Lytechinus pictus: one gene and its partner. The protein of the gene in region 2 purifies or fractionates together with the protein of the main gene of each other region. This does not show direct contact. Links are inferred from orthologs where the notes say so. Each region holds a gene or a part of one and is shown on either strand. Other genes may lie near its edges.

Region 1 (16,861 bases), on a different chromosome or scaffold from region 2:
ATAATGTACGATGTGCCGTTTTTACAATTTGGACGTCATTGGATAAAATATTGGACATGTCTTTGTGATTCAGAATAACGTCCTAGCGAAGGTGAAGCATGGCAAAAAGGTAAGAAAACTTCTTGCTTTATTTTGCAGCATTATGAAGAATAAGAATTCGATAATCTTGCCAACTAGATATGATTGTAGATCAGAATTAAATAAAAGTATCGATTATGCATGTAAGTAAACTTTTTTAGTTTGAGACGCGACGGTGGACACCCTCAAATCATGTCCACATCAAATGAGTAACGTTGTCATGATATCTATATAATTTTCCGGATTATCTCCTTACCTACATATATTTGTTTTATTTGTTTGTTCAGAATGAAACTCCCAACAAGACTACATCTCTTGATTACTACATTACGTAGATTTTTCCTTAATATTTGTAATAATCATCAATATTTAGGTCGTCGTAATTTGATAACATATATTCAAGTAAATGCAAATTATATTCTAATAAAGAAAGAAAATCATTGGATATCTTTACAAATACGTTTAGAAATGATGGTAGTACGGAAAAATATTACTAATCAATCAACACACCGCGACAAAATACGAGAAATCAACACCAAAACATAACAATCACCCAAGACAAAGCCAGAAAGTTTAGACGTTACGGCAGACATATTGAAGGGACGGACATGCTTTTTTTCTCCCTGGGACTACGTGACTGAAAACACACATGGAAAATTTTGTATGTGTATGAACAGGGTTGACCGGCGCACGTGCTCAAGAACTTTTGAGATGAATCTCGTATCGTGTGTGTGGTAGAAACTTGAAAGTTGGGACGTTACGAAGGGGACGGACAAAAATATCAGATTTTTGAAAGTACATTTTCATATCTCTCGTGCATGGAATATCTTATCATACCATATGGGATTGAAAGAGTCCTCATGAGTGTATAATATGATAAGGTTAAGAAAGACAAGATGATTTACAGTCTCGATATAATAAGAGATTAATGAATCTAATATCAGGGGACGGACATGGTAACGTCTCAATACTAGTTTTTCAAACGGCAATATTTCTGAAACGTAAAACATGTCAACAATTTAGTTGGAATTATCAACAAACATACACATCAGACTTCTTTATGGTAATCCAACTCCATCACGTTTGTCTTTAATTTTGTTTTATTCCAGTTTGTTTAAGTATATATTCTGTTTGTCCAAATTTTCAGTACATTTCAGCTATCTCTACAGGACTGGTGAATAATAATTCACTCACTACAAATTTCTTATGTTGATATATATTTTGGGGGAGGGGCTCGATTTTGACCTTGCCGTTTTCTCTCCTTAACCGGAATGGCCCATTTGGAGGTCATCAGGCCAGGGGCCCATTGTAGAAAGAGTTGCAATCAAACATAATTCTAAGAATCATGCACAACTTGATTTTCAACCAATCAAAAGCATGCATTTGAGACTTGCTACATGTATTGATATTCTGATTTGTGTTTAAACGCAACTCTTTCTGCAATGATGCTCCACAAGAGATTCATTTCAATAGACTGTAGAAGTAAATATACAAATGCATGAAACATGAATAAATACATGTATATAAAATTAAATGATAAGCAATGTAACACACACAGGTATGTACATTGGTTCTCTCACCTGTGTGTTGTAATGTAAGCCCAGTCAGATCTATAAGGAAAGAAAAGGAAGACAATTATATTAGGGAGAAAAAAAAAACAAGGAGGAAAAAGAAGGTGTATGTGTACATGCTGACAGTCAATAATGCATTTTACAATTTAAGAATATATAAAAGGTCTATGTTTTCAATGTTTTAAATGTGCTTTTGATACAATATTTGCAATGAAATTACTTCCAACACTAGGCTATTTTTAGAACAAACTTTTGAAAATATGTTACCTATACTTTTTTGTTTGGGGGGATTATAAGCCTCCAAGCTACATGTACATGCACACTGTATAGAAGTGTCTACATGATTTCTGATGAAGATAGTAAAATGAGCATGTAAACTTTTGGAAACTGAGCCTCTTTCTTGCATGCCATAGAATATTGTGAATGGATGTTATATATTAATATATTTTAAAGGTTAGAGGCTACCAAGAATAGAATATTTAAGTATGCCCACATGTTATTTTTTAAGGCTACTCTCTGTGTTTTGATCTTTCTTAAGTAAACTACTTTTATTTTAAAGACCCAGACCGGAGCTTAAAGTGCAATTGACAAATGGGAAATATATAAGCTACATAGTACAACAGTGCAAGTTTTGTGCATATTCACTGCTTAACAGCTGAGTATTTTGCTTAAGAAAAACTAAAATTAACGGGTTTCGCGGGGGATTTGGACAAAATGCTTTCCATTGCCTTTCTCCGGGCTCAAGACCATGACGTCATGTTGTGTTAGAAGCATTGTCATTCCATAGGCTTGTACACTGACAAAGGGGGTTATTTTTCTGCTTTTTAGAGTCTGAATTCGATTTTTTAGAAAAAATCATAAAGACAATTATTCAGTGACCAAATGGATGGAAACCTACAACTCTTCACTAGATTTTGTGTGATTTACTTTCTTAGCTCTTATTGGGCCTAAATTGCTATTTCAGAAAAACTTGTTTAATACACATAATCTGAATGCATATAATTTGAAAGCTGTGCCAAATAAGCAGGAAATAAAATATGGTGAAAACTAGTCAAAAGCCGTAGATTTCATCAATTCAAGCTTGCAGAAAAAGATATTTTTGATATCTCTATGTGATAGAAGTGAAGAAAATAAAATGCATAATCTGGAAGGGGGGAAGTTCACCCTCTTTTTCTGTGTACAACTATATGGAATTACACCGCTTCTAACACAACCTGACGTCACGGTCTCAAGGCCTGTGAAAGCCCTGTGAAACCCTTTACAGCAAGAAAGTCTATTTTCGAAGCCCGATAATTGGAGCTATTCTTAAGCAAAATAGCAGTGAAAATGCATAAAGCTTGCATTTCTGTATTAAGTAGTTCATTAGCTTTCAATTGGTATAGGATTTGTCAATTTTATTTTGGGGTCCGATCTGGGTCTTTAACTTTTTCAATTGCAATAATTTTGCCTCTACTTTCATAACGCTCACATTTCCAAAACATAAAATTACAATCAATCACAAAATACATGTACACTCACCAATACCAGGCGACACAATTCTTTCATAGTGGTATGCATTTACACACACACTGTCACATTTGAGATCAAATGCATACTGACAGAATTTCAAGTGTTTCAGTTCATTTTTGTGCAAATCAGGCCACCTCCATATCCTGGCATAAATCACATGTGGAAAACCTTTCCTCCCGGCAACCTAAAATCATCAACAAAGAAATATTATATAGTTTCTAATCAATAAAGGAATATACAATGTGTTAAATAAACAAATCATGAAAAGCCTTTAACTGGCTAAGTTCTTATATATTTCATCATATCAAACTTCTCTCATGATATCAACTTCAACCCTTAAAATGAATAAAACTAAACTCTGGAAACACAATTTGAGTGCAAGTTTTCTCAATTTTCTTGCTCGAGCTTACCAGCATCTTCATGGTACATGTATCATTACAATATCATCCCGTTCACTGTACACTTTTTGTTTTCAACTTCATCCCTCATCCCACAAGGGATATATGGCACAAAGCTATTATACTGGATATCAGGGCAAGGGGGAAAGTCATAACTTAAAATATGGGGGGGGGGGAGGAAATACAGGTGCATGATCGCACTGAATTTATTGCACTATTTGATAGTTCAGCATGAAGAAAAAAAACATGTCATTAAAGAATGTTTTGTGATAATACACATGTACATGTATGTACTCTACAACTAGATTCTGGACACGTTATGATGGATGATCACTGCCACATAAAATGATTTCCAAATCAAACACTGTATGATTCATAACTGCCTTAAGGGTGTGTTAATTACATATTCATACACTACCACTTAAGCTCAATTGATATTACAATTTAATGCAATTACATGTGAAACACTCTACTAGCTACTATACAGTATTTCCAGGAAATAACTCTTGAACTTGATATCCCATATACATGTATTTGAGGAATAGCTGTTATCATAACTCCTAGAAGTCAAAACCTTAGATATCAGCTAAATGTACGTGAAAAAGTACATTACATGTATTACTGAACATTATATTATCCATGAATTAGATAATTTACAAAGTGCAAGAATTAGTGAGAACGTACACTTCTGTAAATAAGTGCAATATTCTATCCACATTTCTACATGTAGTCACTCATACTGCATGATCAAAATGAGATGTAAGGATTAAATCTTTTCAACATGCCCGGGGCTAACTACTTGCTAAAACCATCTGATGATCCCTCAGGAATCATTGATTTTCTTCGTATATGATATAATTTTGGGGAAGCATGCCAAGATTCAGCTCAGCATACAAGCTACTTGATACCCACACAATACCCATGATGACTCATTATCTACCGAGACCACATAATTCACTCCAATTCATTATGAGAACAACCTGCGAGGAAGAAAAACAATGCCAACAGCCAAGTCATGTGCCAGCATGTAACCTTTTACAAATTCTGACATACTTTTCTCAAAATTGCGAAAACCTCCAGATCTAAAAAAATAGGTCAAATCTGATTTTTTTTTTTTTTCAATTTCAGTCATGACCAAAATTCAAAATTTGTTAAAATCTTTAACCATGGTCTACTTTTCAGACATTGTTGCCGATGGCTTCATGTATGGGTCATGTTACATCAATCACCAGTTGTGATACATTGTACATATAGATCACACATCTTCATTATCGCAAGTGGTGATTGATAACCATCCGTGATCAACCACCACTCACGACTAGGTCTGTGCTATAGATAAGACATCATGCTAATGTCTGAATGATGATGTTACTGATCACCACTCGCTAGTGATACCTACGTGTAAGTGGAGCTTATATCACAGTGCACTACTATTAGCATTAGAGACCTTTCGTTTTCTGTGACGGGCCATGTGGATGTGCAAGATTAAGGAGTTTTGGAAGCTCTGCGCATGCGCGAAATAATCTGTGACGAGCCCTCTCATTCACTGCCCAAATCTGTGACTCTTAATTGAGGGTTTTGACGTTCGGTGTCTTAGTGCTCGAACGAGCGCTAGGTGACGTCATCCTAGCTTAACAAAAATGAATGAAACATTCAAATTTTAGTGATTCAGCAGGGCTGGTGAAGGAAGATACTGCTTGTTACCAGCTTTCCCATCACATCTCGTGTCATGTTTTCAGCATCTACACTCCCCTCCAAAAGTTTGGGAACACCTGCATTCAGTGTGTGCTTTTATATACTTGGTAGACTTTATTGATATTGAGGCTCATAGCATAGTTGAATTTTTGTTTTAAAGTGAAGATTATACAGCAGTGTACATTTTGTTATTGATTCAAACAAATTTATACTCTCTTAAATGTCTGGCTACCAGTCAAGATGGCATTCTTTCAAAATGCTAACTTCTTTTATTACATGCAGTTATTGCTTTTATTCAGAGCTTTTACACTAAAACATGTGCAACTTCATTCATTTTTCCTTTTCCTAGTCAGAAGTCAGACACAAAAATAAAATCAAACAATACTCAGTGTTTCACTGATATGGAAAATTTGATGGAAAACTCGATGGGATTGAGATCTGGGGACTAGGGTGGCCAATCCATGATTTCCAGGACTTGCTTCTCTTCCTTTTTCTTCAAGTAGTCTTTGCATAGTCTTGACATGTGTTTTGGGTCATTGTCCTGCTGGAAAACGAATTCTTCTCTGATCAGGCGTTTCCCTGAAGGGATGGCCTTCCGCTGTAGGATTGAATGATAGCCGTGCTGGTTGAAGATACCCTCTACTCTGTGCAAGCTGCCTACCTTTTGTGCACCAAAGCAACCCCAAACCATGACATTACCACCACCATGTTTCACAGTTGGCTTGATGCACTGGGGTAGCATCTTTTCTCCCTTTCGCCGTCTCACATAGGTACGTTGCTTGCTGCCAAACACCTCGAACTTTGATTCGTCAGACCAAAGAACCTTCTGCCACTGCTCCAAAGACCAGTCTTTATGCTTCCTAGCCCAAGCAAGCCTTTTCTTCCGGTTCTTTTCTTTGAGGAGTGGTTTCCTTGAAGCCACATAGCCCATCAGCCCTGCTCCACAGAGACGTCTTCTAACAGTTGAAGAACATACAGGCATCTCACGGGTGTTGTTGAGGCCAGCTGTAATTTGTGGGCAAGTCAGACAACGGTTGCGCAGACTGCTCACCCGAATGTATTTATCTTCAGCAGGAGATGTTGTTTTTGGCCTACCACTTCGTCTCCTGTTCCCATTAGACCCAGTGGCTTCTTTGCGTTTCAGGCTGTAGTGAACCGCATGGATACTGATCTTGAGTTTCCTGGCTATTTCTTGCATGGAGTAGCCTTCTTTCCTCAAAACTACAATTGACTGACATGTTTCCAAAGAAAGCTGTCTTGTCATAGCCATTTTAATTTTGTGACTGACTTCTGACTAAGAAAACCGAATAGGCAAAATGAGTGAAGGTGCACTGGAATAAGTGTAAAAAAACTCTGAATAACTTTTGAATTCATGAATTTCAAATTGCACTGATGTCTACTCCACTTCCATGTATTTTCTTTAAACAAGGATTAGGCATTTGTCAAGTTCAGATGTTTTCCAGGATAAAGATGCAGATTTCCATAAATTAACTGTCTTATGAACAATACTGAGCAACAAATTCTGAGGACATCTGCTGTAACATTCACAAAATATTGGGAAGAATTTCAGAAAAGAACCCCAAACAGAACAATGTTAAAAGAAGTAGGCATTTTTTAGAGAATGCCATCTTGACTGGTAGCCTGCCCTCTTTGGCAGCTGCACGTCCCTTAAGAGCTTTGAATTTGTTTGAATCAATGATAAAATGTACACTTGTGTATAGCCTTCACTTTAAAACAAAAATACAGCTGTACTATGAGGCTTAACTTCAGTAAAGTCTACCAAAGTTCGAAAAACACACACTGAAGGCAGGTGTTCCCAAACTTTTGGAGGGGAGTGTACATATCCAGAAGGTACAATTCATGTTCTATATCCAAACAACTGTGTTTTGGGGCTTTTGTGCCACGTTTGCGCACCCAGCTTCCAGAGCTCATCTTGCGACATGCAGCGCTCAGCAGGCATGGCAGCATGACTCTACCAGGGTTGCAGGGATTAACTTCGTCGAGATCCGCTATTCATGCATCTCTCCTCAAAATGCATATTTTCAATGTATTTTCATAAAACTGTGGAAATTGAACGATCCATTCTCTTGATATCATTTTAAATTGTTAACTACACTGTGGGATTCATATTGGTACATGTTCTCACATACGTAAGAACGTTTTTAAGCATGCGAAGAGCAAGAGTGCAAATGCTGCACCCTCAAGTCACCCAACTGGTTCGTGGCGTGATGCTATGCCTAATCCTCCGGCTGAGCATCGGCTCTTGGCCCGCTCGCTATCACGCCAGTCTATGCTGTGGCCTGGTACGGGTACGTCGACTGAAATCGAAACTGTTCTCATCATTGTACGAACGTGATACTGAACGAGCGGTGTCACCACTTCCAGTGAACTAGGATTACGTAGCAGTCGCAGAGAAACGAAACCTCGGTAATGTGACAAATAATACATCACTATGGATAATATGCATCGCGCACAATGATGTATTCTACCTCACAAATTCACAATTCTTCTGACAAAGAGAGAAAACAAGTTGAATTCAATCGCATGCAGTGATAACAACTCAACAACATGTTACATGTAATGATCACCGCTGGTGATTTGTTAGCACTATCCACTGCAAGTGACGATACACCTGATGTAAATCATGTAATGGACTAGTAAATGTATTCCATTCAAATTATTGATTTTAAAGTAATCACTATGAGATGGTACAATGTTTTTATTTAAGAATGACTGTTTAATTGCTCTAGAATAAAATAAAAAATGATTTTTTGTTCTGGTAACTTTCTGTATCCTAAAGCTTTTGGTCATGGTGTGTCCTGGATTTCATCAAAGAGGTGGCACAGAAATCTCTTCCCAACTTGAGGAAAGCTAAGCTTTGTCACATCAAAGAGTAGGTTAATTGATTCAGATTTTTCTGACAGGCAGAGAAAAATATTTTCTCAGCCCCCCCACAAAAAAGGGTTCCTGTCTGGCTACCCCCCCCCCCCCCCATCACACCCGGTTAGTCCTAACATTCAAATACAAACATTTGGTGATTGTTGATCTTTTCTTGTTGTATCAATATAATTTTTTGTATGTTTTAAGATTTCCTCTTTGAAACCTTTCAAAAGTACGAACATTAGTATTTATTACTTATTTACCAGAACTATTACCTTGTCAAGAAAAACCTCACATTTTCCAATTATTTTCGTTTTAAATGACCTGGCTGGCAAGGGGGGCAAAAGAGAGTTGGTAAGAAATAGGTTAGTTTGTTGATAGAAAGGGAAACATATTGGCAGTGCAGTGTGTGACATGCACACTCCTGAGAGGAAACCGTCTAATATGCCATATCCAGGTGAGCTCTCTCCGAGACAGGTTTCACTTTCTAATACAACCTGGAAAGGAGAACTGTTCCTTCCTGGGGGGAAATGCAAACCAGTTACCTTTGAAATACCCTCCCTTGATGATAAACATTGAGGTAATAAGAAAACATTTTCACCTCACGCCATCTATAATACAAAGGTTCTCAGAAATAAGAACCATCACGTGCCTGCAATTAGGACAGGGGAAAAAGCACCCCTCTCCTTCCCATTGTTTGTAAGGTTTAACTCAGTTCATACAAAGTTAACATTGCAACACTAATTCCATTCCAAATGACTGTTTGACAACCAGTATGTCAGGCCCCATTCCAAACCTTTCTCCTCGTCACAAAAACTAGAAAAGTGTCCTGAATAATATAGGTTTCCATCAATTTAAAACAATCAACAGGCCCTGCCCAATTGAGGAACATTTTCAATATGGTGTTTTGCTAATTCTTTAAAAAGAAAAATAAATAAATGAAAGAAATATATCAAAATTGTGCTCCCAAAATGTACAAATCTTTATTTTTTCCCATGATCATCAAAACAAGAAAATAAGACACGGGCTTGGTGTAAAGTTAATGATTCTTTAATTAAAAGGAATTAATAAACTTTGTCGAAAGCATATTAGCTTTTGATGGAATTTGAGGTACCATATTTGCCGGTGAATAACACGCACCTCTTCCCCCTTTTTAAAAGTCGGGTGAGTCTTTTACAAAGACAAATCCAACTTTTTCGCTTGTTGCTAGCTAGTAAAATGGAGTTAAATTACCTGTAACCTGCCATCCAATGTCCTTTGTATCGTGACACATTTACTGGGATGTGCACCGTTTGTGGTAATGGCTGTGATAAGGCTGTCCAGCTCATCTCTCTTCTCTTTCAGTTTTTTCACCAAACTTTCAATGGCCCTCTTTGCAAAAGATTCTGATTCTCCTCCCTGCCGATGGCACATGAGGCTGTGTACTATACTAAGACAGGCATCGGCACTCGTTGGGGCCCCCGCCATTGTTCCCATTGGGTACGCCAGCTTGACAGTGGGGTAGATGACACTAATGGTCACCTCGAAACCGGTCTGAAATGTGCCACTTCTGCAACTACAAAATGATATTTGGTGTATTTTCTGCTACACCATGAACTAAGGCATCTGTCCAAGGAGTTCCTGCATATTTGTAAGAAAGAAGGAATAAAAGAAATGGAGCCCAATTAATGATCATGCCCAACAATGTAATGTCCTGTAAACTAGAAGTAAATTTTTCACTTTGAAAACATTGCTTCCAGACCCCGATTGGACCTAAAGTGAAATTGAAAGGTCAATCAATCGAAAGCTTATAAACTGTAAAACACAGCAATGAAGAGTTTATATATTTTCATTACTTCTCCGCTGAGTACCTTTGGGCTTTAAAAAAAAGGGTTTATCGTGTTTATCTGTGACATCATGATGTGTTAAAAGCATTGTGATTCCATGGGTTTGTACACAGAGAAACATGGTAATATTTTTGCTTTTCAGATTACACATTTGATTTCCTGCTAGAATTTTTTGATCACATGGTATATCTTCTTGCAAGCTTGAATTGATTATAAAATCTACAGCTTTGGACTAGTTTTTGCCATATTTCATTTCACACTTTGGCACAGCTTTCAAATTTTATGTGTATTCAGATTATGTATAATAACTTTTCCTGACATAGCAATTTAGGCTAAAAGGGATGGTCCAGGCTGGAGATGTTTATATCTCAATAAATAGAGTAAAATTCACAGAGCAAAATGCTGAAAATTTGATCAAAATTTGATAACGAATAACAAAGTTATTGAATTTTAAAGATTTGCATTATTCCGGTGAAACAGTTTTAGGCATGTCTTCATGAATATTCATTAGGTGGGCTGATGATGTCATATCCCCACTTGTTCTTATGTATTTTATTATAATTGAAATTAGGTTTATTCAAATTTTTTCTACCAAGAACAAAAACAATTGGATTGACAACTGATTATTATTAGTTATTTATTGCCCCAACTTATTTCATCATAATGGAGACACATCATTAATTTACACATGTATGAAAAAATGAAACAATTATGATTTCATGTATTACATAAGAAAAGGAAAGTGGGGATATGACAACGAAATTTAACACAATTTGAATTTCAGCCCAGTTGACACTGTAGTGCATGATATTGGTGACCTAAATTGAGGATATAGAATTGAAATTGATAAAAAATGACATAGAAGCATTTTTTGTGATCTATGAATAAACTTCATATAAATAAGCATAGTCAAAATTTCTTAACTCTTGTGTAGAACCTTGATGAACCTCATGTAGCTCTCAGATGGAACAAAAATAATCAAAATCAATCAACAAATAATTAAGTATTTTTTGTGAGTTTTGAAAATATATTGAATAAATTAGAATATTAATGAGTTTCAAAATTCTGTGTTGAAATTTTGTATCACCACCTAGAGCTATCATATAAAGCAAACAAAATTGAAACTGATCAACAAATGAAGGGGAAAAATCATTTGTGATTTATGAATAAATTTTGCATAAATTAGCATTAATAATTTTCTAGACAAAATTTCAAAATTTTGTGTACAAGTTTGGTGTTCCCCATGCAGCTCTACCAGATGGAAGGAAAATAAAATCAAAATTGGTCAACAAATAAAGAAGAAGCATTTTATATGAATTTTTAAAGTAATGCATAAATGAGCTTAAAAAATTTTCTAGTCAAAAGTTCAAAATTCTGTGTAGAAGTTTGGTGAACCTCATGACGCTCTACCAGATGGAAGAAAAAAATCAAAATCGGTCAACAAATTCAGAAGAAGAAGCATTTCATGTGAATTTTTTAAAATATGCATAAATTAATTTCGCATAAATTAGCATAGAAATTGTTCTACTCAAAATTTCAAAATTTTGTGTAGAATTTTGGTGAACCTCATAAAGCTCTATCAGATGGAAGCAAAAAAATCAAAATCGGTCAACAAATAAAGAAGAAGCATTTTTTGTGAATTTTGAAAAATGATATAAATTAGCATATATTTAATGAGTTTCAAAATTCTGTGAAGAAGTTTTGAATCCCCCAATGTTAAATGCTATCATAAAAAGCAAACAGAATTACAGACTTGAAATGACGAAGAAGAAGCATTTTGAAATTCAGTCAACAAATAAAGAGGCATTTTCTGTGATCTATGAATTTTCGCATGAATTAGCATAAATAATTTTCTACTCAAAATTTCAAAATTCTGTGTAGAAGTTTGGTGAACCTCATGAAGCTCTACCAGTTGGAAGAATAAAAATCAAAATCGGTCAACAAATTCAGAAGAACAAGCATTTTATTATGTGAATTTTTAAAAATATGCATAAATCAATTTTGCATAAATTAGCATAAAAATTGTTCTACTCAAAATTTCAGAATTCTGTCTAGAAATTTGGTGAACCTCATGAAGCTCTACCAGATGGAAGCAAAAAATTCAAAATCAGTCAACAAATAAAGAAGAAGCATTTTTTGTGAATTTTGAAAAATGCGCATAAATTAGCATATTTAATGAGTTTCAAAATTCTGTGTAGAAGTTTTGAATCCCCCACCTAGTGCTATCATATAAAGCAAACAGAATTGAAATCGGACTCGACATGGCGAAGAAGAAGCATTTTGAAATTTATGGATGGACGACGGAAGCCACGGCATAAGCTCAACTTGCCCTTCGGGCCGGATGAGCTAAAAAAATCATATTCATATAGGAATCAGTGATCAATAATAAGAATTAAATACCAACAGAACCTCTATCCTCTCTCGATATGGGGCACGATTCTCAGCTCCACACGCCTACATAGACCTACATGTATGCCTAGACTTTGAAAAGCGTGAGCACGTAATACAGCATGCCAAGATGTCGGATATTGAGGAGTGCCATATTTGGCAGTGTGTCGAATGTCCCGATATACATATGCAAACAATTTGTCGGCGGTCATCCGAACCGTCGTATCAGTCAATTTTGGTCAAAATATCGATTTTTAGATTTTTGCAGAAAATGAAAGTACAAGTACTTTTATAACGATGCACGGTCGTCGTAACACAAACCAATCTTGTCAAATTTTTCTGTGCAACCTGATTTTGACATTATAATTTCAAACTCGTATTGCTCATTAATGCATGAAGTGTTCATCTCAAATTAGGTATCAAATTAAAGAGGAATAATTGGATGATACATGGTTATGTAAGTGAAATAAAAAGGCAAATAATTCATTACACTCATACACTATTTGCCCTTTTTTATTTGCCTTTTTATTTCAATGAAATAAAAAGGCAAATAATTCATTTGCCTTTGAATGAAAAAGACTAGGAAATCCCAGTTTCCTTTTTCTGGGACGCACTGTACATTGTATATCAGTTTATTGACCCCCCCTTTAGAATGAGCTTTGACCTTCAACTGGAGACCTGAAAATTAATTCTTCTTTTTTTCCAATACTTTTATAACGATTATGCAGGTTTATGCAATCGGGATTTTCATACTGTCAATATGAAAACTGAAAATCATAACTTTAAGTTTTTTTAGTTGATATTATATCCCTTACTTAAGATTGTTGTAGAGTGTACACAAGGAGAAAAAGAATAGTTTTACTACGAAAAACGTTTGCCATGAAATAGTTCATTTTCCTTGCATAGTCCATTTTTTCCCTAGGGAATAAGTGAACTATAGGTTTTTTGACCCCCCCCCCCAAACTCGCGATTCGCGAGCTGTGCGGCGCGATGCGAGCAGAGCGCTGCTCAGCCAAACGGTACTCTCCACTGCATGCCACGGGAACTTTCGGCGAGCTGCACTAACCAGGTGCGCTCGCTTAAGAGACGATCCATATGGCAATACTTATTATTTTCTCAACTTCTCAACGATTGTTCTATATCGACTTATTAAAAATCATTTCGCTGTAAAATGGTATGAGTGGAAGGGATGTAAAACAAATATACAATGACCCATTCTCAGAACTTTTTTAATCTTTGGACAAGGTTTATCATACATGTGCAGGAAAGTTATTTCAGCATTTTCTTATTTGTTTATTTCCTTTTATGTTTTCTTCTTAAAGTATACATCCAAAGAAAATTCATGAAAGTGATGATTATAGACAAATTATATATGAATGGAAAGGTCTTGTCTTTTTATACACAAATATGTCACTAAAAAGTCTTATTGATGTCGTGGAAATGCAAGAAATGAAATTATAAGAGACCCTTCTCAGCCCCCCAGCCGCCCCCAGACAGACAATAACGCGATCAAATACAGTCGAGAATAATGACGTCACATGATGATCGACTCACTCAGCCGCTCTCTAGCTCTGTGCAAGCCAGCAGTACACTGATAGCTGATTCACCTTCCTGGTCTTTATTTTTCTTCGAATTTACTGTTTTCTTCATGTATTGTGATATCCGAATTCTGTTTTCGACAACTTCAGACTATAAGGGAACCAGAACTGTGTTATTTTGCCCGGTTTTTATTGAATTGTGAACTGGAAAGATCGATTTTGTCCACTCGACAGTCTTCGTTGTGTTGCTCTACTAACTATTGAAAAACTCCAAGCTGCACGGTCCCATTCACTTGCTCCCGATGCATGTTGCAGGTTACGCTGTTTGATCCAGTCAAAAGTCAAGGTAAGCATGTTTGGAAACTGTACTTGTTCTGACGATGCATTCAGGTCAGATGACAGATACAGATCTGATATAAGTTTAGAATCATGCATTTTGGCGTATACTATTAAAATTAAAAAGTCTTTATTTTAGAAATAATGTTTTTGCACAATTCCAGCAGATTTTTTCTTCAGATTTCTAAAACTGGTCAGGACTCAGGCAGGCGATTAAATTATTTAGGAGCACTGGTATGGACCATGGCTGAAAATCTTTTTATTATACACAGAATTATATCACCATGATGCCGATGTCATGAAGCCAGACAAATTTTCAGCAGTGATTACCCTGATTCCTGGCCAAAATCACTCACACGTATTGCGAGGTTAGTATTAGTATACTAACCTCGCACCACGAACCGCGTTTGGCAGTGGATTTCTAACTAGTGGGTCGCGCGTGCTGGGATCTCACTTCTTGGGTCCACAACACGACTTCTATGGCTTGAATTTTCTGTGCGCGGCGGCATGTAATGAACCCTTGGGTGGGCCAAAATTAGAGTCTGGTGTTTCTTTCTGATTAGAGTGTTGCTGCATATATGCATGCGTAATGCCTTCAACAATGAAGATAAATGCAATCTTTGTAATGACAAAAAAACTCAGAGAGCACCGTACCTCAAGTGATGTTCGTGTAGTCTCCACTTCACTACTGCTACAGCCTACACTACGCTACACACCTACCCGGGTAGGTGTGGCGTACATGTACGGTAGTGTAGCAGTAGTGAAGTGGAGTGGGGCCTACACAAACATCACTTGAGGTAGAGCACCAGTGTTCTGAGTGGAACTTTTCAGGTGTCTTAACCTACTATCATTTGTTGTTGACCGGGAATTACATGCCACCGCACGTCATCAATCATCACGATAATTAAATTCATACTTTGATTTGATTATTTAAACTATTTCTTTTTTTCTCTCTTCTACACACAGATCTGCACACTTGCTGACTCTGGTGACTTCTGGTCTCTGCTTGCTACCTCAATCTGGGAGATTCCATCATGTCCTTTTACTATGATTTGGATATAGCCATTTTTTTCTTCACTCTTTCCAGGACCTACGGTTTGCAAGTTGTGGACTGATAATGATACAAAAGAAAAATTTTCTTTATCAATCTTGGAAACAATTTTGAGCACAGTTTTGGAGAGAACTAAGAAATTTGACTTGGACAGGAATACAGCTTGTCAAAAATAATAACACACAATTTAAAACGAAAGAACAATTTTAATGTTACTAGGGCATTTTGCGAGAAATGTTATACTCAATCACACGTCCCAAATCAAGGGTAAGTCCTTTGATTAAACATGTAGTTGAATTGCGATTGCAACTCGACCTTATTACGCTTGAATTTGAATTTAAGACTTACGCTTGATTTGCAATTGAACATAAGTTTCTTGCAGTGCCCCATAATTATGTTTTGTTATCAGATATTTAACGTGCTGATTTTTCTCGAAAGGTATAATATATTTGTCTTTTTAAACAGTATTTGAATATGGGTATGCCTTTTGTTTGTTTTCCACAATATTTATTGCATGTATGAACAGAAGTGAAATATTTATTGTGAAGCACTGTGAATGTTGTGTGCTGTTGTGTGATGGTTCATCATTTTTGTTATAAGACTGAAAGCCTGGTGGGTGTGAGGAAGTGGCCTGGATGAAAGAAAAGTGAACATGTGTCCAATTACTGATTTGCATATTCTAAGACAATTTTGTTTCTGGATAAATTTTGCTATGCATTCCCTACATTAAGAGTAAAGGAGAAGTCCACGCAATCAAAAATTCATTTGAATTTAAAGAAAAATAACAAGATATTGCAGGAAATTTCATAAAAACTTTGATTCAAATTTATATAATTACTATTTTAACAGTTCCGTAAATATAACCTATTGTGATCAGATGAAGAGTTTCCTATCGTCAAATCTGCAAAGAATAAAAAACAAAATGCCACAAAAAATAGAAACGAATGTGATGTGAGTGACAACTCTAATTTGCATATCATTGTTTTGTGTATATGACTGTTTTGAGTAAAAACAACAAGGGAAATTACTCTATTCAAATAATTTTTAGTTGATGTGGACTTGACTTTTAACTCTACCCCTCCCATCCCAAATAAGAGTAGAAATAATCTAATCAAGAACTTGAAAATCAAAAGCAGCAATTAAGAAGCAAGATTTGATAAATACAGGTCTGAATAGAATTTCACAAGAAAATAAAAAGAGAAAAAAAGATGGGTAGGGACGGGGAAGGAATAAAAAAAAAATGCCCAGAAAAAAAAATCCGAGTTTCGAACCAGGGTCCTCGCACATGACAAAACAATGGCCAACGCATTTGGCCACAGACCATTGCCCTACCGGAAAGGCATTTTTAAGATATATGAAATAAAGTCCGCTCGCCGCTGTTGCCTAATAATGCTTCGGCAATTCAACTGCAATTTCAGTCATTTCGCGATGGATATTGCCGTGTTTTTTTTGTGGTTCCTGACTTTGCTACTTAATGAAATTTCATAATTTTTGTTCAGTCATAAAGAAGAATGTCTATGCTTTATATTGATTATAATATTAACGTGACGCAAGTGTGATTTCTACGTGAAAATATGCTTTGTTTATTCAC
Region 2 (17,304 bases):
CATTTACAATGTACATCCACAAAGAACAAAAATGTGTCCACGAACGACTGGTATTTCACAGTTTGCCAAGAACATTGTACAGCATGATATAATATGCATTCAAAGTAGAAATGCAACAAATACCTTCATGGAGTGTTTACTGGTGTACTATTCTAGTCACCTGGTCTATTCAATTTCTTCATCCTGCTATGTAAGGCATGCATACTTATTATCTTGCTTTGAAATCTGCCTATCACAATGAAATAAATGAAAGGTAATTTGACCAAAATTGTCCACGAAGTAACTACAAACTGCTCTATAGGTTTTATTAACTCATAAGAAGCAGGAGGAGATTAGTCTGCTCTGCAGGCAGACACCCTGATTAAAACCTTGATCAATAAGTGGGTCTCCACACAAGACTAGCATATACATGTACATGTATATAAAACTTTTTTTAGAGGGTCTTCAATATACAAGTCATTGTCAGCTGCCTTATCAGACCATTTAACCCAAGTGAAGAGTCTGCACAGCAGACTAGGAGGAGCTTGCTGTTCATGTAGACAATTCTCGCTACCCCAAATAGCGATTTCGCCAAGATCCGGGAAAATCCCTGTAACGTGCATTGCATTATGGGATAGCTTTTTCGGTATTACAACTTCCTGTTCGGAAGTCCAACGCACTGTTTTGCCATTTAGATCAACAGTGCCGTCATGCACAACAACACAACGTAGCTTTCGCTCGGAAAGTTCGTGATCACAACCCTCTCTTTCACTAACAGTTTTACAGCCTTTTCTGCTAAAGTCACTAATTCTGCCTGACGCTTTCCATTGCACGGTATTCATCTGTCAGTTAAGATTTTTTTAAGTTCCGAAACTGATTTTTATCCATTTTGTGGTCGACGAAAAATTGAACGAAATGAATGCTGAATATATTTAGTGTCTAGTTGAATACGATCGTGATGTCAGGCCGGTCGCTAAATGCAAAATTTTAAGATATTCATTATTTGTTTGATTTTTTTATAACCAAATAAAAACATGAATAAAAATTATTCTCACGTGAAATGTATTTTTTATTTTTATTTATAATTCAAATGGAATCAAAACTGACCAAATGTAATAAAAAGTATTATACTTTGTACATATTACGCTGATTGGCATCGATTTCAGCGTGGTGGAAAACTCAGTATCGCGAACCTCGCGCGAGCATGACTCTAAACCGGAAGTGGTGATGACGACCCGACGGAGTGAAAATTATCTCGTCTCGCGCATTATGAGATTTTTGTTCCTATTTGGGGTAGCGAGAATTAGAGCACCATTGTTATGTTCTTATTCTGACGTGCCTAGTGAGACAGTGATATCTGACGTGCCTAGTGAGACAGTGATATTTCAAAATGCCAATATAGCCACATTGTTTCACAATGCTCTTCCATTTTTGATGAAAGGAAAATAGACCACAGCACAGTTGAACTTCAGCACAGGTGCCAGTAAAGCGCAGAAGGTAACTAAGAGAAAACAAAAAAAAACAGGGGGGGATAATTACTCTGAAATTGATAACATGTAGGAATACATGTAAATGAGTGAACATTGTCGTGTGCTCATAGAAAACTGATTCAGTAGGAATTGAGTCAAATGTACAATAGTTCGTACCTGTACATGTACAAAAAAAAATCTCTTCTCCATCTTTTATGTAAATATTCTGACATGCTTACTTGAGAAAAAAGGGGAAATTGTTGGGCAGTATTGTAAATGTAAATCAGTTTGTGGTATTGACCGTATCTTATTTCCGCAATGCATTTTTTTGCTCAAAATTCATGGTACATGTACATTTGTACATGTATGAGCAAATTTTGGTCCAAGGAATGTCCTTGATCTATTTCCTGTGAGAAATATACAGGTACATGTATTTTTACTTCTTTAGAATACTTGTTCAGCTCTTAAGCAGCTGCCATCAACTTGTGATAGCCAAAGTCATATCAATTTATAATGCCTGAGACGTTTCATTGTCTTTTTCCTGTGTGTGATATCAACCGTGTAGGTAGCAGGATTTAAAGAGGTACTCCAGCTTGAAATAATAATAATGATATATGCAATATTTTCAGATCACTTAAATTAATACAATGTTTCTAAGCACTGCTTACCATTACCCTGATCTACGCTCGAGCATTCAAAGAATTTCTTCCTACCGGATACCCATTTTCTACACCTGGGTGGAGACTGGTGAATGGAAAATGTAGTTAAATGCCTTGCCAAAGGACACATTTGCTGCAGTGGGATTCAAACCCCAGACCTTGTGGTTCAGGAGACTTATCCACTGAGCCAAAACACCTGTTTTGAACAGATGAAGTATTAACATTGGACAAACAAAAAATACTGAGTTTCATCAGAATCGGACAAGGAATAACGTTTGCCTCAGGTGATGGTTCATGTAGGCTTCACTACACTTCACAACCGCTACCCTCTGCTACACCTACCCGAACTTTCGGGCAACAAATACTCGCTCTCAAAACCAGTGACAAACTGTGTCACTTTGGTAAAAAAGGCAACACGTCATGTAAAAAAAAGACAGGCGTACTCTACAGTGACTAAACTTACTATCGGACACAGACTCACTCCTTGCCCTTTCTTGTAAATGTCCGCAATTCGCGTTCGCCAGTGAATTAATACGTGTGGGAAACAGAACCGGCTTCAAATCACCGATTTTGAGATGTTTACAAGAAAGGGCAAGGAGTGAGTCTGTGTCCAATAGTAAGTTTAGTATGCTTAATGTTTTTTCTTTACATGTGTTGCCTTTCTTACCAAAAAGTGGGGATATTTAAGGTGATAAGGTGATAAAATGCTTAAATCCTGTTGGAATCGTGTACTTTAATAAGCAAAGCAAACAACTGATGCGTGCACTTAATATGCAAATAAGTGATCAGCACCCGTCATATCTGCATCCATTGACTTTGCACATAAAACAGTGATACGTTTGCTGATCGCGCAAATTGAAAATGCGGTCACTGTTATATTCCCTGAGGCGTTTTTGTACAGGGGAAATCTAAACTGCTCAAACCAAAATTACAAGCATGTAGCTCTTTTGTGATATTTTCTCTAATACTTGGTTCCTTGTGAAAATAAAGATACCAATATTAAGCACTTGTCTTGGTTGGCTTGGGACAAAGAGTGGAAATTAAAGTATACTGAAGTCAAATTTCTCAGAAATGAGTTTTGCACTGTCGTATCGCCATGTGACGGTTCGGATGATTACCAAAATTACCATTCCTGGGTCAAGTGTGGCGAATTGTAGATCAGTGTTTCTATGAAAATATAATAATCATTGCTTACAGCACTGGCAGAAATTATTTTAAGTAGGCATACATGTACAATCTTAGATTGCTTGTTGCCGCATATACAATCTTTGGATATATATGAATTGACCTGTTGAAGGAAATTTATTGCCAGCTTTTTAACAGGATAGATAATTTTGTTCAAGTCAAATGATTAGAAAAATTGTATGGACACATTCAAAGTACAGATGTGGAGCAGCGAGGTTGGTGTAGGACTGACCATGTATGGTTCATCTGGTGGCACCATGATTCTTACCTCAATTTAAGTCTTATTTCCTGTCAAGTTCTTCATATTATAATAACCAGACCTAAAACCCAAATCCTGCTCAATAGGTGGTTTCAAACCGCCTCGATCATAAGAATCCCCGTTAAATTACGAGAACTTTTTTAGGCTAAAAAATACCCATTAATTATTCCTGCATTCACACCGCTCTGAAACATACCCTTCGGGATAAGTTCCTGAAGTTACGAGCATGCGCTGTATGGTCTGATAAGCAGGCAAAGCGCGAGATTCAAAACCACTAGCTCAGCAGCCACCCACGGCGCCCGCGCATAACTACACGCTGGGCTAAAAGTTCCCATATTGCTTTCACATTGCCAAAATACCTGCGACCTTGGAAAAATCCCCGCGAAAGTTCTCGTAATTTTGCCATCTACCTACTATTTAGTGGGTATTTTCTTTCGGGGATATTACGTGTAATTTGCTTTCACATTGCCAATATTACCTGGTATTTTCTGATCGGGTAAATTTCCCGATCAGAAAATACCTGGAACTGACGAACTTCGAGGCGGTCTGAAACCACCTAATATCTGATTTTGCCACATTCAAGAGGAAAACAAATGAGAAATAGGAATCTTTGTTTTTCATTGTCCTATCTGCTTTGTTTTGATTTTAATCACTTTGGTCTGATGTTTTCTTTCTAATGTACAATAAACATTTAAGGACTGCTTGCCAAAATGATCAGAATTTTTAGAAAGATAAGTTTTTCCTCATTTGACAAATACTGTAAAACTACATTTGTAAAAAAAAGAAGATGTATATGTAGAACTTGCAATCATTGTCCATTCATGAATTAAGAAAAATTTACTAGGCCCTATAGTAAATGTAGGCCCTATAGATTAGAATGGAACAAAAACATATTAATGCTCCATTTTTACTAGTTGAAGATGAGAGGAAGGATGGAATGAAGGGATGAATTAAACTGGTTAAAAATATCCAAATAAATAATCATTTTTTTTTTCTATTTTTTGTTCTACACCATGTTTGACTTCTATGGTAATATTGTGTGCATGTGTTTACATGTATAAAAAAATCATGGATAATAAATAACATATTAGAGGAAATGAATAATGAATGCCTAATTGTTAAATTGAAAATGTGCTTTTCAAAATTGTTCTAAAGTTTGACTGCTTGGTTGCCAGGTCACATGCGTGCACAATATTAGGAGTGATATATGTACAGACTTTAATATAGTCTCCTCTACAATGATTGTTTTTTCTTTGAACAAAACTTTTGAAAGGAATATATCAAATATATGAAATAAATAATCAGTAGTATGTACATGGTTTAAAGTACTTAGTAGCTGCAACATAAAACCTCTTATTGCAAAGTCGCAAAATAAGCATGATATTGTTAGTGCTTCAAGGTTGGCGCCATGTTCTGGTATGGTTTGTTAGGGTTTGGTTTAGAGTTTGGCAATGTAAAGAGAATGAAGGTAGAAATGGGATTTCGAAGAACAGAATATATATTTTTCTTTTTTTTTTTAGCTAGATAGAATTATTATTGATTACAATGCCTGTCTTAGTGAAGCAACACTGTTGAAAGATGAGATAGGCAACCTCCAAAACTGTTATAACACTGGTAAAATCTATATTCCACTCATAGGAAATGTTTTTCCATAGTCCTTATTTTCTTAAAAGTGGTTTAAATAATTAGTCAATTACTAACTGTAAAAAGATAAATTATCAGCTCCTTATTGGTCTTGAAAGGCAACACTTTATAGTGATTTCAAACACTTTTACCAACATGAAAACAAATTGGCCTACATAGGATTACACTACTGTATGTACAAAGTATTTTATTGTTGTCAATATGCCACATGACATTACTCAGTCAGCAGCGAGCTTTAGTTTTTGGTTTTTTTTTCTTTCATCAGTAACCATGTACAGAAATATGAAAATTACCATCAAATTAAGATTTCATGTGTATTCAGCCCTCCAACTTTCAATTTGTTACACGACCTCTGCGTAGAGGGTGCTCTTAAATAGCATTGTCATCTCTAGCCTTTAAACAAGGCGCTGTGTCTGTTGTGATATTTATATCGCATACCTATACTGACTGGAAAAAACTACCGGTATTCACAAAAAGCCGAGTGAGTGCGAGGATTTGAGCTCAGTCACAGGGCCTTTAGGAACCCGATTTGGATTTCTTATGTTAATCATTGTTTCCGAATCGGAATCAAGAGGTAGCGGCCAATCAGCGAGCGTATTGCTCGCATCAATGAACCCCGTGTGACCCTGTGCCACAGAAGCGAACAAACCCATCCCATGATGTCATAGACACCGACGGTGCGGATTGGCGCATCGGCTGCATCAGCATGCTCATGAATAATTCATATATTCACGTCTTCACCAGATTCCAAAAGGCCTCGCGACTAAAGTCGCTCGCTCTCGCACTCACTCGGGTATCACCAGTTCTCTTCGACGTCCGCTATTCTAGTTTCATCCACTGCTTTGGCAAGGAATAGAGCCAAGTCACGAGGCCTTGTTAAAAGGCTATGTCATCTCAGGATTGTCCAGTTATTAAAAGCTCATTTAAAATTTCCCCCTTATTTTCCATTGCTGCAGAGAGTAGGCCCATACATGTACCTTTGCTACAGCGTACAATTCTCCGTTTTTTACAGGCCCAATGCATATGTTTGATGTATGGATGTACATGTATGTTCAAAAGTTACACAGAAGTTTTGTGGAGATGTAGCAATAGTGGTACATGTAGCCTACTCGACTTGTATGTGAAGCTCGTAGGTATAGTTTTCAAAGGAAAGTGATACTAGGGATCTCCTTTTACAAGGTACATACATCGGTCCCAATTATACCCACTCCCCTTCCCCTTTTGTATCTGTTTCATGTTCATATCATATGCACATATGTATACATGGAGGCCTGCTTTAATACAGATTGTTGCGGTCATAAACCCCTGCATCACAAGACAGACTTGAACTCATGTTATGGAGCCATGGCCCTCTCCACACAAGTACCTGAATTTTTTAATCCCTTATCAGATTTCAGGCTCTTTTAAGTACTGAGTAAACACAGACCATATTTCCTGTTCAGTGTAATATTCCTATTAGGAAAAAAATCCTGCCCTCCCAAATGTAAACTCATTCAGAATATTACTTGATGGTTTTATGACTGCATTGCTGTCTTCTTACCCCACATATCCAAAGACAAGCTGTCTAGCCAAGCATTGATATAGAAGGATTAATGATTGAAATATCAATGTTTGTGAGATTAAAGACCTTGTTCGTCATATTGAGAATTGAGAATTGAGAATTGATTTTATTCTGTCCATTTAGGAAAATATTCTTGTTGGCATTTACATATACACAGAAATATACAAAATCAAAGCGTAAAGATGAATTCTACAGAATATATATACATCACACATATTTGAAGAAAAATACATAATACAAAATAATTTCAATCAAATCGGTAACATTTTACTCTTAATCATCGTTATTATTAATATAATTATCATTATTATTATTATCAATCTTATTATTATCATTATGATTATTATTATTAATTGTATTATTATTATTATTATTATTGTTATTGTCATTGTTATTATCATTATTATTATTATTATTATTATTATTATTATTATTATTACTATTATTATTATTATTAATATTGTTTCTATTATTACAATTATCAATAATCAATCATTACTATTATCATTATCATTATTACAGGATATACAGAAAAAAAAAACATACAAAGAAATACAACAAACTACATACAGTCATACAAATAAGGGGAAAATACATAATATAAAATAATTTCACTCAAAATCGGTACAACTTTGCTCTTAATTATTGTTATTGTTATTTATTTTCAATATCATTATTATCATTGTCATTATCATTATTATTAATATTATTATTACTATTATCATTAATATAATTTTCCTATCATTATTAATTATTATTATTATTATTATTATTATTGTTATTATTATTATTATTAATTATCATTATCATCATTATCATTCATCATTATTATCATAATCATCATTATAGATAGACAATTGCTCATTCAATGCTTTCATTTCAGTCGATAGTATCAGGGTAATATTAGTAAATTGTATACATGTGTGAGAATATAGTAGGTGACTGACGAAGTGGCAAGATTACAGGCTTGATTGAAGTTGTTCGTTGTATTTTCGAATGGAGAGCGGCACAAAAGAATGAAGGAAACGCGATGTTCGAGCCCTCATTGATCTATACCGCCTTCCAGATCGCATTTGAATATAACATGAGTGGAGGGGGTGGTCCTTATTTTGTATGATCTGTGAGGCCTGTTTCAAGATTGCTTGAACGCATTCATTGGTCACATTTGCCACTTCTCCAGTAATCTTCCCAGCACAATTGGCTATTTTCTGCAATTTCTTCATGTCTTCTTGTCTGCACCCTCCGAACCAGACAACACAACTGAAAAGCATAACACTTTCTATCACTGATTTGTAGAAAAGCTTTAACAAAATTCTATCAACATTGAAAGAATTCATTTTCCGAAGAAAGTATAATCGTTGTTGGGCCTTTGTATATAGAGACTGACACTGATCCTTCCATGAAATTTCACTATCAACTATAGTACCCAAATACTTAAAGTTGTTAACATTTTCTATAACCTCTCCTTTGAACATAATATAGAAAGTCATATTCTCATTAAGATATAAAAAAAGGAGTATTGCTTTCAAGGTATGTCACTTTTATTGTGTGAGACACACTAACCTCTATAGTCGACCCATTCTCATTACAAGAATAACTGTATTCTGCTTCAAATACATGTACATGTACTGTACCTCTAGAGTTGACCCCATTCTCATTACAAGATTAACTGTATTCTGCTTCAAACATATACATGTAGGCCTACTGTATACATGTACATCTATGCTATCTGTTCTAAAATGCTCCATGTAGAAGCCACGGAAGTTGAACTGTCTTATTGCTATTGACAATTTTTTATGTCTACCGGTACTTATTAAGTTTTAATAGATACTGTAATACTTGACATACTTGATTGTTCTTTATGCAAGCCATAGCCTTGATAATCTGATTTGGGATTTTCCGCTCACATAATGAGCCTTTTCACCACTCTCTGTGGACCATTCAAACAAAGAGTTCAGAGCTCGAAAGCATCGCATTCAACATTCATTGGCTTTCACATCCTTTCATTTCTTAAACTTATCAACATTTTAAAAATATGATTGCTGCTTTTAAATGAATGCTCTATCTTGGTACATGTAACTAGGAAGCAGATTCTCAAATAATTATACCAGTAACTGTTTGCGGACATCCCATATCATTGTTGATTTGATTACATACACGTTTAAAATGAAATAAGAAATTACGACTTCATGGTTTTGTGAAGCATCTCATCGAATGCATGACTACCGTTTTTGCCGGATGTAGCAACAGCATAGGCCTATTGGCAGACTGGATTCAGGGAAGTGTAATTCATCCATTAATGGGTTAAAAAGAATTACTTGATTTTACAGGAAATATCAGAAATCAAAGTGAATCAGAATATATCATTGTCTATTCGGCCTTCAAAGTAAAACCTTGGACAATTACTTATGTTTGCTAACTGTTGCCAAGGAGGTACTATTGCCTTGTTCTCACTTTACGTTTCATTGATGGTATTGGTTTGGCCTGCATATGTCCTACTTTCACTGAAACCTACTTAAAATATAGGCATTGTAATGGCTGCTTTGGGAGTACGATTCATGGGTCATTGTCAGGGTCATAAATAAAAGAAAGGGACAGACGGCTATGTTAAAGGGAAAGTGAGAAACTCTTGTGGGAAATGACAATTATCATATTTTAGAAAGAATATCATCAAAGTTCTGAGGTACTTGTACTCTGCAGAGGATTGCTTCTCAGATGCCCGATATTTAGGGTGTGACCTAAAACAGCTGACATTTTGGGGCCATAACATCTGTGTGTAGTCCCATTCATGTATTTCTGTGTGCCATTCATGTTTGAATCTCAGCAGATTTCAGTCATTTTCTCTGATTCCCAAATCTTGCAGTATGCATGAATCCTTGGGTGCATACATATGTACATTTAGTCCAATCACTTTGAGACAGCTGTTTCCATGGTTCAATCTCATGACCAGAAATGATGCTCATTTTACATCGGTTGAGAGCAAGAGCGATCACTCATTGATGTTATATTTCCTTTTTAAGTTATTGTAAGTGCTTTGGGAGCAGAATTATTCTTTGTTATTCTATAATGTACAGCACTTTGGGCATATTACTATGGAAAGATGCTGTAATTGTCAAAATGTACATGTATGACATTGTATGTCTTTATACAGTAGTTCTAAGCCTGCTTTCGGTTTGTACAGGCATTGTGTACTACATGTAGTTTGTAAACACTTCAAATTGACCATCAGTTATTTTGTACTGAGCGGTATGGTGTGCAACATTTGGCATGTCTGAAACTGAATTGATGAAAAATTGCTTGTACCATGGAGCTATGTGTTTTATAGCTCCATGCTTGTACCTTCTCCGCAGTAATTGTGTTATATGTTTGCATTCTTGAATGTACACCATGAAGATGCTGCTTCATGTATAACTGTAGTGCTAACCTTATTGTTCTTGTGTCCTACATGTAGAACCTAGTTTGGTGCCAGTTACAGTATGAATTTAATTTCAAGAAAATAATGATGCAAAAGCAGATATATTATTGTCATTGAATTTTATTCTCTTTTAATTCTTAGAATTTAGAATCAATGTGTAAATGATCAATTTTTTAGTTCACTGCTTTTAATGGCAGCAGGACAATATGAGTGTGGACTTTTCTGAGAGGCTTTAATACAAAGTCCTAACATTTTAAATTTACTCTTGTCTCTGTGAACAGGAGGGGGGGGGGGTGGATTGACCTCACACTTGTTGCAATCACCCTGATCTTCCTTCCACTTTGCATGAATTTGTGCATCCTCCATCCACAACCTAACATTCTTGCTCTCTCCATTTTGCTCCTTCGATGACATTTTGGTCTTTCCCTCCACAAACTGCCAAACTCATACCCCATTACCCTTTTTAAGATATGCTCGTCAAACTTGAAAACCAGAAATCTGAACAAACACTACTTCAATAAATGTTTTATTGTATTTATTGAATACATATCAATATATATTTTTTCTCTTGCATTCTTGTTTTCTTTTCTGCAGGGTTACCGGATCCCTTTGCCAAGGTAGTGGTTGATGGATCAGGGCAGTGCCATTCTACAGACTACTGCAAAGGAACTCTCGACCCAAAATGGAACCAGCATTATGATTTGTGAGTAATTCAAGCATGACTGACATTTTCCATCTTTTCCCTTTTATATTATGGAGTGCTTTGAGAGGCATGGTTGTTTCTAGAGGCTCAAGGGGACCGCAACGCGACTATGCCCGAGGGCATGGTCTGGCAGATGCGGTACCTGCGAGCCGAAAGAAACAACCGTGTCTCGAATATAAAAGCAGTCCATATATATTTTATGAACCAAATTAAATGTTAGATCTAGCCTAGGGCCTAGTATATAAAAAAATTCTAGGTCTAGATCTTAAACAAGTTAGGCCTAAAAAGCCCTAGATCTAGCCTTTCTAGGCCCCAGGCTAACGTTAGGCCTAGATCTAGGCCCTAACTTAGCCCTTCAGCTGACGTTAGGTCTCGAAGTCGAATATCAAAGCAGTCCATACCGTTAGTACTAGGTCTAGATATTTTAGGAACCAAATTAGGGTCTGAATAGATCTAGACGAGATCTAGTCCAATGTTAGCAGTCTTTAATCTCCATTAGAGTCTAAATCTAACATTAGATCTCGACTATGTCAGATCGAAATTAAACGGAACATTAGCCTAGGCCATCTAGATCTCGAGTCTACTCTTAACTTCTAAGCTAAAGTTAGATCTAACAACATTACCGGTACCTAACGCATCGTTGTTTGGCATACGGGCAATTCCATGGAAAATGTTCACTTTCGAGAAAAAATGAAGTTTCAGATTTCACTTAAGCAGTCAAATTTTCTTAAAAAGTAATCTATAAAGTTTCAATTTCCAATAGAAAAATCACAATATTGATAAAATTTTGTGTTTTTTTCCATCATCAAAAAAATAAAATAATAAATTGCAAAATATAAAAAATGTGGCTATTTTTAAACAATTCATCTTTCCTGTCTCTACTAAAAGCAAATAAGGTCCCACAGGTCTCTTTTAACTTTTGTATCGATGATTAATGTTTAAATCAACAGAAAATCATTGTTATATTTCATGCCATTCATCAATTTTAGAGAAATCGATCTTCAGATTAATGTGATTTCTTTACCATTATCAGTGTCATGTCCGTTACGTTTTTCACTTAAAGTTTTCACAGCTTACAGGAAATTTGTCTGAAGGTACTGCAGATTCAGATTCTATGTTAGAATTAAACCCCCTACCATGTGTAGCAATCATTTTCCCTGACCACTTCTCATTTTCATAAAAATGGCGTAACGGACATGACACCTAATATATGACAAAAGGCAGCATTCACAAAAACAAAATATTAGGCTCAGTGTCACAGACTGTGGTCAGTCTCAATTGCTTGAGGATAGCTGGATGTAATAACTCCTAGAATCTGCATGTCATTCTAGCTATTTTTAGAAGTTGGTAAATGATGAAAGTTCAGCTCTTGTTCTGGTATATTTTTCTGAGAATTAACGGTATGCCACATAATATTAGGATAAGATGCAGCTAAATCTGGCAACATACTCAGATCACAATCTGCATCATTTGTGTTTGAACAATAATTGATTATCTTAGGTGTTTGCACTGACAGTTTGGAGCATGATAAAACTCCAACTTGTGAATTCATGAGATCTTTGATGACATTGCTTCAAAGTATCTGACTTTCACCAACCCTCAACTTCTTCAGTGATGGCACTGGCTCACATTTAAAACAAGTTTGTAAATATTCAGATATCTGTGTTACATGATGTAGCTCTATGAATCCATGAATCTACAGTGGCACTTCTTCATATCACAAAGCAAAGAGGCTGTGGAAGGAATGTGGCGCGATCAATAAATTATGTCATCATAGTATTTTGGTCAGCCATAATCATGATTTGAATGATGTATCTTCGTTTGTACACAAGCAGCGCAGACAATACAATGAAATTAGATACAGCCACATTTGTCAGCAAGCAAGATCGTAAGATTTAGTACATCCAAGATTTGATGAAAGGATGATTATACCAAGGATCTTTATTTTGAATGAAAAAAATCTCAGAAGCGATTTACAAACATTCCGATTACCTTATAACTCGTACATAATCGATAATGAAAGACTGGTTTCCAGGTACTGCTATTAAAATTTAAAATACTTTTTAATATCATTTTTTTAATCTTGAAATTGACATTAATACTAGTACATATTCTTTATCATAAAATACATTTTATAATACAGGTGTATGTTCATCTTGGATTTAATCAGGTCTGGTACATTTTGTTTTCTTCTCACAAAAAATCTGATTTGCTCTTCTCAGTGTGCCTATGGTACTATTAAAGCATTGTATTCTATATAAAATTATCATGTGGGCTATAGCTATTAAATTAATAATACCTGCCAAAAGTGCCAATAATATCTACATTTTTTTCTTAAGAATGTTAGTAAAGGTACTTTGCTGTTACATAATTACATTCATTATTCATATTTCTTTCATTTTGCAACTAAGAAGTGCAGATGAAGTTCACTTCGGAAGGGTGTCATGTCCGTTACGCTAGTGTATATTGTCAAATAGTAAGCCATGAATAAAAAATAATCTTTACTATCAACTTTTTCTCTTTTAATTAGATGTGGCGGATGGTAGTAACTGGAAAATAATCATTAACTGTTGTTAACTGGCGTAAAAGAAATTTTTCCAAATATTTTTTTGTTTTATAAATATTGTACGCAAAGCCCCCCTCTCAAATTGCAAAATAATAGGAGATATTACAGATTACCAGTTATGATGTGTGTCTCTAACCTCTAGCCTTAACAAGTAACCAATAAGACTTGTACCATATCTTGTAATAAAATAATTATATTCGCTTACAAAAAGTGGACGAAACTGTCATGTCCGTTACGCTTCATGTGTCATGTCCGTTACGCTACATTTTGAGCTATGAATACAGAATGCACTGTAAAACTTTTGTTAAACACCATTTTATGGATAGAGCATGATCTTAAGGTTAAATTAACACCAGCGTCAGGTGCATGCAATCTAAGAATTCACAGGAATTTTGATAAGCAATAGGAGGTAAAAATGCTTCGTCCATTTCGTGTCATGTCCGTTACGCTGACAAAGAGTGCAATTTCTCCGCAACTGTTCAACGAAACGATTTGAAATTTCATGTGTATGTAACTGATACTTAAATGTGTCTGATAAGCTCAGTAGCAATTATCAAAAGACTGCTAATTCTACTGTATAAACCTTTGAATTACAAAAATTTGTCTGAACGTCATGTCCGTTACGCTGGAATTGCCCATACCTAACGTAACGAGTAATGTTATAAGAAAGTGCAGTGACCGTCTTGATCTTTTCACCTGACTCACCTTTTGTGAGCATGCATTTGAACGAACAACTGCAACAAGACTTGATGATTGATACATCCGTTATGTCCTTGTTTAAGTTAGTCTTCTTTTCAATAATGCCATATATTTTAACACGAATTAACAAGCAAAAGTCTAGGATCGGCATCGTTCCATCGATATGTCATATCCGTTGCGTGCACTTGTGCAATAAGCGCGTAAATGCGCGAATTGTCTAAAACTTTCGATCAAATCGCGCGGATATTTATGGTATCCGCAATCACCGCACAAAGCAACATTTTGCATGCAATCAAATGGGGATCTCTGCCAAATTTTGCTATGCCCGTCGTTAAGGGGCGGGTCAGGGGGCAACAGGCAGAAATCTTGTTAACTATGCCTGTTGCCCTTGGTTACCACCTTAGTTTGTTGTTTTGCAGGCATGGTCGTTTACATGACCTCAATTTTGACCAATAAGAGGAACAGATTTTTTGACATTCTTAAAGAGAGGTTCATAATCAAAGATAACCCCCTCCCAGCCCACCCCCCAAAATGTCATATGTTATGATGTATTTGTGGACTATTAGACTTCTTTTTATTCCCGTATCGGGCAAAGAATTAGTAAATTATGCAAGTTAAGGCATATAGGCCACGTCATTTTCAGAGGCTCATTTGATTCATTTTGGGAAATTTTGCAATTTACACTTGGTGTCTCCAAGAGTGAAGCAGGTTTGGCGCTTTGTATTACAGCATACTGTTGATTATCTCCAGTGTGCACTTCTTATTTTGGAAGTTCAATAGTAGTACCGGTTCTACTGTACCTATGTGCTGCTCTCCCAAGGCTAAGCTGGCCTTGCTTCTGGCTGACTGAATTTTGCTGGAGAAGTCTTTTCTATGAGCAGCTAACCTCTAAATTGCCAGATTGGATGATCAGGCCCCATACAAGCATAATGAATTATATGATGGATATTTATGATTGATTTCAGATTAAATTCATTCCTGCGATCAATTATGAAGCTTTTTTTGTTACAGTACAGGTGTGAAAATACAAGCGGGTAGCACAAGAATTCTTTCAAACAATGGGAAGGGACTGATTTCATAGTATGGAATGGAGGAAAAAGATTAAGTTTTAGATTGACTGTATTGATTTGAGTCAAGCAATATGCTGGTTGCAATGATAGAAAATACTTGCAGATATTGAAGTTCAACAAACCTAAATGTAAATCAATGTCTCGAGAATGGCAAGCAGAGATAAGACAGCGTCTGAATGCCATTATTTTGAAAATTGAAAATACTTTTTATATTATGGTACCCACGTCATTCCATGATTTAAGAGTGCAATTTTGCCTTGCAAGCCCTCTTGCAAGCGAAATCTGTGGCAAGTCAACGCACTACGTTGACTTCCCTTGACTTTTCGTTCTCGCTCATGGAAGGGAGAAAATGTTTAGCTATATTTGGGATGGAAGATAATTTCATGTCTTGGGAAGAAAACATGATTTACATAGATGTCTGGCAGAGGAGGCAGGGCTCAGCAAACACTCTCCTCTTTCTCTGCATCCATTAATTCTCCGTCAATTTGTCTGCCTGATTATCTTCCCTCTTCCCCTCAAAAACAAGACTGGCATGGTTTAAGACATTTGACTGGCGGCTGGGAGTGCTTCCTAGCGTGCCAGTCAGTTGTCTATGCCTGTTTTATCTATCATTCACCATCCTGGCACTCTATCGCTTCTCGCTTTTAGACCCTGGGTCGGTCTTGGAATGAAGCTTCCAGAGTTGCCTGTGTTGATTCTTCAAGGCTCCTTGCCCAGTCCCAGACAGGCTTCTTTCAGTTAGCTACTCTATGAAATCTTGGCAAGAATTAGATTTGAGAAACACTGGATTTGTCTAATCATGCAAGAGCTCTTGTCTCCTACTGGTTTTTAATATGCTTTGTTCTTTATGGCTGCTTTCTAATGCTGAGAAAAGTTTAAATTCTGAATATTGAATTGACCCTTTAAAGGGAGATGAAGCTTGTTAGAATTACACAATGACACATAGCAAAAAGTGATTTGCCACCCCCCTCCCCCCAAAAAAGACACCCTCATAGGTTTGAAGGGTTTAATGAAACAACCCAATGTTGTATGTTATTGATAGAATAGTAGAATAATTATTTTGAGTAAAAAATCAACATTCTTTATGGCATAATCAGGTTAATACTCAGTGATGTCCTTTTGTTTTACCTTACAAATGTACAATTGTACATCTCTCCGTACCAAAGGGGATTTTTGTAGGGGGGGCTATTAATTTGTTATGCAGGTCTATTTCTCATTTACTTCCAATGTTTAAGAATCAAACTATTTAAAGTGATCAAGGCAATGCCTTTAATTTCAGAATATGCTGGAGCAATGTATTTCTTAATAACTTCATCACTTTTTGCCTAACCGCGTAATGGAACAACCTCTTTTGAATATTGAGTTCAGAGACAGGAGGAGAACACGCTGTCTGTCTCCCTCGTCTGTTGAATTTTTAAATTGCAATTATGGCATTGTGTTGTAAGAGAGCAATACACACCCATGTTTAACACCCTGAAATTCACTCTGTCTTGCGCCCGCCTAATTAGGCAGCCAATTTAAACGGGGATGTACATTTCTCAAAGTAAACACAATTTTGATAGTGTTGGGTGTGAAGCTATTTGCTGGTACCAGTGTGTACTTACTGGAACATGCAGGGTTTTTTTTATTGGATTGTCCAACATTTGAATAACTCCTAGATTGAAATCATTCAAGGTTTATACTTTATACAGCAACTTTATTACAAATTTTCCCTCTACTTGTAGCTAATCTACCAACAGATTTTTTTCCGCATTACCTAGAATGAAAGATCCAGGCTGGCCCAAGACTTTGTACCATTTCTCATGATCTGAGTTTAGTCAGGCGTGGTTGGACCTGAACCACCTTTTTGCCTGGCCAAATATTGTTTTGACTGGCCAAAATAATGTTCCTCTATTAAGGCTTTATTTGGGAAGGGGTAAAAGTAATGTAGCTGTGAATAATTCAGCTGTGCAATTTAAGTTATAATGATCCTTTTCATAAAAAATTATTGTGAGATTCTTTCATGGTATCATGAATGTCTTATGTTGAAAAGACTACCTTGCCATTGAGGTTGTTTGTTTTGGAGAAAACAATGATGAAGACTAGAATATTGAAG

Evidence for each region.
Region 1: the proteins of E3 ubiquitin-protein ligase SMURF2-like (region 2) and mothers against decapentaplegic homolog 4-like purify together in Homo sapiens (affinity purification with western blotting; 3 studies listed by BioGRID). This does not show direct contact. The link is inferred for Lytechinus pictus from reciprocal best matches to the Homo sapiens genes SMURF2 and SMAD4.

The regions. Positions count from the first base shown.
Region 1 is NC_087247.1:25,799,258-25,816,118, reverse strand, and holds the start of mothers against decapentaplegic homolog 4-like, read right to left. Parts: upstream 9,754-16,861; 5' UTR 9,608-9,753; coding exon 9,365-9,607; intron 3,343-9,364; coding exon 3,168-3,342; intron 1,689-3,167; coding exon 1,659-1,688; intron 1-1,658. UniProt on the Homo sapiens protein: In muscle physiology, plays a central role in the balance between atrophy and hypertrophy. When recruited by MSTN, promotes atrophy response via phosphorylated SMAD2/4.
Region 2 is NC_087254.1:29,862,884-29,880,187, reverse strand, and holds the start of E3 ubiquitin-protein ligase SMURF2-like, read left to right. Parts: upstream 1-9,848; coding exon 9,849-9,861; intron 9,862-10,765; coding exon 10,766-10,874; intron 10,875-17,304. UniProt on the Homo sapiens protein: E3 ubiquitin-protein ligase which accepts ubiquitin from an E2 ubiquitin-conjugating enzyme in the form of a thioester and then directly transfers the ubiquitin to targeted substrates.